Ovis aries: one gene and its partner. The protein of the gene in region 2 purifies or fractionates together with the protein of the main gene of each other region. This does not show direct contact. Links are inferred from orthologs where the notes say so. Each region holds a gene or a part of one and is shown on either strand. Other genes may lie near its edges.

Region 1 (3,519 bases), on a different chromosome or scaffold from region 2:
GAGAGTTTTTATCTTCAGGATTGTAACCAAACCTTTCCTGTTTTCTTTTTTCAAATCAGATGGCATGTGTTATGTACTGGTACACTAGTAAAATGTATGTCTTTTCTTTTGCAGGGTGGTTATTTTGGTCAGATAAGAAACACGAAAAAATCCTCCCAGAGATTAAAGGATGCACTATTAGACCACGATCTTGCTCTTCCTCTCTGCTTGCTTATGGCTCAGCAGAGGAATGGGGTAATCTTTCAGGAAGGTGGAGAGAAACATTTGAAACTTGTGGGAAAACTCTATGATCAGGCAAGTTAAAGTGGCCTTTGTGTTTCTGTGGGTTTTTAAATCTTGATAATGGAAAATATAAAATGTTATGTAATTTGAAAAATGTCATTTTGCTCATCATATATGTTATATATACCATGGTATATATATTATATATATATTATGGTATATATTATATATGGTATATATTATGGTATATGATGTATATATAAAATAGATATTCTGGAAATAGGGACAATTTCTGTGCAAATTATGATATTTAAGAGATGGCTCTAGGGGATATAATAGTATAAGGTTTTCAGTCATTTTTGAAAATTTTATGGTAATAAACTTGCATTTATAATATACACAAGTTTAGAACAAAAACCTAACAAAATGTGAATAACAATAATCATAGATTGTATAATGAACCCTTGATCAGTTTTAAGGTCTAACAACTTTACATGGTGATGTTAATTGTATCACTCTCTAAAAATGTATTATGTGTTCATGGGCAATAACATTCAGGTGACAAAAGACGTAGTAATACGTCTCTAGTCAATAATGCATTAAGCACTGAAACCTATGGCTAACCTAAAAAATGTGTTTAACTATCACCATATTACAAGGTAATTAAAAAATCACACGTGTTTTATAAAATTTTCTACTTTTAAGGGCCAAGAGAATTGACTTGTATATACATAATATTGTTCTATAAAATTTAGGTAAATATATTTTACCACTAAAAGTGGTGAACTTGAGACCCTGGTCGACTATCAAAACACCCGTGGCGGATTCATGTCGATGTATGGCAAAACCAATACAATATTGTAAAGTAATTAGCCTCCAATTTAAATAAATTTATATTAAAAAATTCTCAAATTAGTTAACTTTTCAGGACTTGAGTGTATTTTTTGTAATATGATTAAGTTTGTGGATTGTCTCCAAAGTTCTTTCAAGTAGTAATATTTGAATTCTTAATTGTTAATCAAAATATTGTTAAAAAGAACATCTTAGTCATTTTGGAAAACATTACGTTGGTTTAATAAAATGTTAGCACATTTGTGTTTTTTGTCTTATTTTTTAAATTTAGTGTCATGATACCCTGGTACAGTTTGGTGGGTTTTTAGCATCTAATCTAAGCACAGAAGATTATATAAAGCGAGTGCCTTCAATTGATGTGCTCTGTAATGAATTTCACACACCTCATGATGCAGCATTTTTCCTGTCTAGGCCAATGTATGCACACCATATTTCGGTAAGTATAAGTATTTTTGCTGCCATTCCAAGAATGATTCCACATTACTTCTTAACTGTTTTATTTGTAAGTGCATTGTTTGACATAGGTTATTAGAGAGTTGCTCTTTTGTTAGTACTCAGCTCTGAGCAGTGGTCAATGAACATAACCCTTTTAAAAAGGAAAGTCTTTCTAGTTCTATAATTTTACTGTTGCTACACTACCAGTTGTCCAAGTTGATATCTTGTAGGTCCTCTAGAACTATAGTTTTTAAACATTAGTGCAGATCATCAGGAAATTATTAGAGAACCACCAGGGAAGCATCTTAAAAACTTAACCCCATGTCCATAAATTCTGATTTAGAAACTTGAATGCTACCAGAGAATTTTTGCTTTGCTTTTTTTTTTTTTAAATAAGACTAGATGATTCTGATGCAGATGAATGTGGCATATCATTCTGAGAAACACCCCTAGAGAGTTTCCTTAGTGACAGTTATCCTTGTCAGATAGTTGACTTGCTATTACACATACTGCCTTGAAAGAAAAGGCTGAAAGACTTAACCACCTCCAAACATTGTAAATACTTCCGCACTCTCTGTTGTGTAACTTCTAGGAAAGGTATATTCATGGTTTCTATTTTATTTCTCTCCACCTAAATAAAAAACAAATGAAAACAAACAACAACAAAAAGCAAATCCCCAAGTAGGTTATCTCTTTAGTGACTGTACTGAAAATCAAGTAAGGATGTGGGGTAAGAGGAGAAAGTCCTTCCTCTTCTTGTTTATCTGCCATCTGGACTCTTCCCTTCAAAGCCATTACCTCTAATAGGAATCAACTTTTCCTTTTTCCTCAGGGCCATGGTCAGTCCTCTGTTTGGAAACTATGGTCTTCTCCACTCTGACTGGAGTCTAAGCATATTCTTCATTTTTGTGTAGGCTTGGATTCTAGCCCTTCTGTTTATCTGTTGTTTTTAAGTCTGTACTATGCAAGGCTTTCATTACATATTTGAGGAAAGATCTTGGTTCCCCTATCTTTAACTAGGATCCCTTCTTTTTTCCAGTAGGGATACAGGGCTGTGTATTAGAGTTTGGCAAAAGATGCTGAGAAATTTGGGATCTAATTGATCATTTGATCAACTTATTAGTCATAAACCTAGCTGTTAGTGTTTACATATCAACCCGCTACAGTCTCACACTTAACTTCTAACAACTAACTAAGTGTTAATTGATTCAACTATTGCTTGCAATACTGTGCTTTACTCTCTAGAGGGAAAAAGACAATAAGGGAGTAAGATTGGGCTGTTGCTTCTCCTTCAGACTCTTCTCAATCCAGAAAATTTATATTCTCTTTCTGTAGTTATATTTTGTGTTGTTGCTCCATCCCCAGTATATCAGTCTCAGCTATACAACAGGGGACCTGATTTCTTGAGGGACTGAGGTGGGAGAATTGCTTCATCTCAGAAGTTCTGACCTACCATGTACTATACTGAGAAATGAACACACTAATCAGTGATATTGAACCCTAGCAAAGAGAAAAACTTGGTTGCTTGACGTTGGCTGAGTGTTTCCAGGTCAGAATATGGAGCAGATCATTCATACCAACAGCTACTTTTTCCATAGCCTGTAGAAAATATTGCTTAAGAGATAAAAATATCTAAACGAAGAAATGTCATTCCCCTCTCAGGGTTGAGAGGAAAACAGAGAACTATAGAGGTGGCTGTACAACCAAGTCAGGGGTAGGCCACATACTACCCCCTGGAAAGGGAGTTCCCCAGCAACCTTGGTTGCACTGGATTGGGCATCCAAGCTTCCCTTGGGATCCTTACTTTGCCTCTTGCAAAAGCCCCTCTTGAAGAACCCCCCCCCCCCCCCCCCGCTCTTAAAAATACCTATTTTGTTTCTTGGCCATGCTGTGCAGCATGTGGGATCTTTGTTCCCAGACCAGGGACCATACCTGCATGCTCTGCATTGGAAACGTGAAGTCCCAACCACTGGACTGCCAGATAAGTCCCTTGAAGAACCTTTGATGAGA
Region 2 (3,519 bases):
CATTTTCAGATATAACTGTAGATTGTTAATAAGTCATAGAAATCACTGCTAAGTACTTTCCAGGAAAAGCAAGCAAACTTTATCTTCATTTGAACTGCTTTCTGAGTAACTCCTATGAGCTTTAGAGTCAAGGAAAACAAAAATTATGTTTACTTGGACAAAAGCATGTTAAATGGCATCAGTGCAGTTTAAGAGCATATTGATTTATTGCAAGGTACGATGTACAGTGTGACGTGCTGTTCTTGTCTCTGTGAGCTTCATTTGTGGGGAGAGCGATTGTTGAATGTTTGTTTCTTCAGAATTCAATCTCTGGTTTGGTTTTTCCATATACCTAGTTTGCCAGACTGGGTAAGAGCAGGGTCACATTAGTGAGCAGTTGTTAGAAGCAACCATTACATGTGAAGAGAGGGTCTAAGAGGAAGGAGGTGGATCAAGTAAAAATGTAAGTAGCCACACTTTGCAATACATTATGAAAGGATTACAAAGCAGCCTAGGGTCAGAATTACCAGAGCCTTAAATGGTTATCCTTTAGCTTCTTGAGGACAGGAGCCATTTCTAACTAATTACATAGTTTGTGGGAAGGAGAACAGTATAAACAAAAGAACACTTAGCTAAGCGCTTGGCTTTTAGTTCCCTGCCAGTAACTTGCCATGCAGCTTTAATCTTGTGATTCTTTGTCTTAAATGGTATGGTGTTTTAAAATCCTAGGAATTTCCATCTACTGAGTAGACTATATTCTGTAGCCACTAAGTATATGGTAAACCAGAGAGACCCCGTATATTATGCACCATAAACTTATGATGTACTAAGTTTAAAAAAAACACCTATATTGTATAAATGAACAAAGCTACTTCAGTTGTGGGATTATTGCTAAATTTTTTCAAAGCTTCAATGAAATAAAAACTAAAAATGCTAGAAACCTGGAATGTCAGAGAACCCCTTGTTATTTTACAATGTACTTTTCTTATCTTAGTTAAGCCTCAACACCATATAGGAAACAGGTTTAGGAATTAGTAGTTACTTGGACCTGATTCCACAGAAATAAAATCCAAACCTACATCTAACACTAGGCTTTAGTCAGTCTAGCTACTTTTAAGTCACACTTTAACACGAAATTCACTATATGAGCTTGGACAGATCTGTCTCAGGTTTGAGATCAGATATTCTAAGATGATAATTCCAAAACTTGTCTGCATATTGCAATTACCTGGGAGCCTTAAGAACTACCTGATATGTCTGTGTTTGAAAGACTGGTTTAATATTAATTTAAAAATAACTTTAGAGAGTCCCAGGTGATTTATATTCAGATTTAGGAATTGCTACTCTAGTAACTTTTTAAATAGTATCTTAAAAATACTACAGTAATTAAAAGTATTTTGAAGAGAAAATTTCAGATGGAGGTATTTTACAAAGAAATCACTAAAGTAGACTGAGATGATAAATCATGAAATACCAAAGTTTAAAAAACATTTTGTTTTATTTCAGCCATGTTAGGTTACCCATGAGCTGTGAAAAGCTATGCTACTTGATAATAAATTCATCAGTTCTATATACTACCTGGTAAATAAGCTTGACCCTCTAGTGTTTCACATACCTCAAATTAGTTATCTTTTGTGCCTTAAGGAGAAAAAAATATCAGAAAAGTTGTATTTGTCACATATATGATACATCCTATGCATTATCACATTACTGTCATTAGGGAATATCTGCTTTTTAGGGGAAACTAAGGGTAATCAATACCATATTTCTTCACTGTCCTCTCTCTGTTTCTTTTAGAAAGTGACAGGATGCTACAAGAAAGCAAGCATTCAAACAATCAAAAATAAGACAGATTATTTTGAGCTCTTTAAAAAAAAATCTTGACAGGAAAGGGGAAAAAAAATGACCCTTAGGCCTGCAGGGCACAGAACTGCTGGAACACAGCCAGGATGTGGGGGTCTAACTCAGCAGTGAAGAGCAGGTTCTCCAGGGTCACCATGTACTGGTGGATTGTCTGGTGATGCTGTAGACACAGAGAAGGGGGAAATGTTTAGGTTAGGAAAGGGAGTACACAAGCAATCTCCCAAACATTCCCCTAAAGCCTACCCACGTTGTGGAGTGATGCGAAAGAGCAGAGAAAAACGGTTTAGCTGCTAGGCATAATAACCCTGGAAAGCCCGAATATGGAGAAAATGTAGGGGGAAATGAAGAAGAAAAAAATGATGGTCAATAATTTAAAAATTCAGTTCTGGTCTGTTTCTATGCAATTCATAATTCACGGCCATGGCAGCACCACCTGCTACTATTCTAGATGAGTTCAGCTGGTTCTTTCCCCTAACTGAAACTGAAGTCGCTCAGTCGTGTCCGATTCTTTGTGACCTCATGGACTATAGCCTACCAGGCTCCTCAGTCCATGGAATTTTCCAGGCAGGAGTTACTGGAGTGGGTTGCCATTTCCTTCTCCAGGGGATCTTCCCAACCCAGGGATTGAACCCGGGTCTCCTGCACTGCAGGCAGATGCTTTAACCTCTGAGCCACCAGGGAAGCCCTTCCCCTAATTAGGACAGAGTATATAGTATGACTTTTTAAAAGTTGCCCAGACAAGGGATGAACTATGAAGAAATTTTGGAAATCATTTCATTTTTTGGTTAGGGCATTAAGCAAAGAGATGTCTTAAGAAAAAAATATTTAACCTATTTATATTTCAGAATTACCCAGTGATCTGTTAAGTATTCCACAAAACAGGAAACCCAAACCTCACTGTTTTTTATCTTTTAAAATAGAGGTTATCTGTCTTACTGAAAATCAGTGACTTACTGAGCCTAACTGGAAAAAATCGTCAGAAAATCAAAGTTTCTTCTATATGTACATATATAAACTTTAATATACTCAGATTCCTATAGGATCAGGGTATTGACAATAAATAAGCCTCCAACAAAAAATTTACTCTAGATTTTTCAAGGAACTATTTTCCCCCCTTTAAGCCTTCTGCTTTAATCACACTCTTGTCTAGAACAAACCGATAAGGATTTGCTTGGGGTGTTGGTGTCTGAAGATACCACTGTACTTCAAATCTAACTTAAATCTAACAGAGTATGTGTTGCGGTCTGCTTTCTGTAAGAACCTCAGGGAACTTACTAATAGTGCCTCCAGAAGCACTGTTATCATTTGAACTTTGGATTTAAAGAGGTTCTTAAAATCTTATTACTCTTCCCTTAGCATTTTTTTATTTTGTGTCACAGCTAGGCTCTCCAACAAAGAGAATGGCAATTAGGAGTCTGAGTGATACAGAGCCAATTTTAAGCCTAAATATTCTGATGAGCAATGGTAGGAACAAATGGACACTAACTAAAGGGCTTACAGGTACCATATAACCTAACAACTTTGATGCTTTTTTAAAACGGAGAATCCCTGTGGCTGAGGATGTGCTGTGTTTAGTGGCTTGGTCGTGTCCGACTCTTTGCGATCCCACCAGGCTCCTCTGTCCATGGGATTTCTCAGGCAAGAATACTGGAGTGGGTTGCTATTTCCTTCTCCAGG

What was found.
Region 1: the proteins of NCBP1 (region 2) and THOC2 purify together in Homo sapiens (affinity purification with western blotting; 3 studies listed by BioGRID and IntAct, with this or other methods). This does not show direct contact. The link is inferred for Ovis aries from reciprocal best matches to the Homo sapiens genes NCBP1 and THOC2.

The regions. Positions count from the first base shown.
Region 1 is NC_056080.1:107,651,533-107,655,051, reverse strand, and holds part of THOC2 (THO complex subunit 2), read left to right. Parts: intron 1-114; coding exon 115-294; intron 295-1,345; coding exon 1,346-1,510; intron 1,511-3,519. UniProt on the Homo sapiens protein: Component of the THO subcomplex of the TREX complex which is thought to couple mRNA transcription, processing and nuclear export, and which specifically associates with spliced mRNA and not with unspliced pre-mRNA.
Region 2 is NC_056055.1:49,985,618-49,989,136, forward strand, and holds the end of NCBP1 (nuclear cap-binding protein subunit 1), read right to left. Parts: exon of another isoform or gene 2,003-3,519; coding exon 1,889-2,002; 3' UTR 183-1,888; downstream 1-182. UniProt on the Homo sapiens protein: Component of the cap-binding complex (CBC), which binds cotranscriptionally to the 5'-cap of pre-mRNAs and is involved in various processes such as pre-mRNA splicing, translation regulation, nonsense-mediated mRNA decay, RNA-mediated gene silencing (RNAi) by microRNAs (miRNAs) and mRNA export.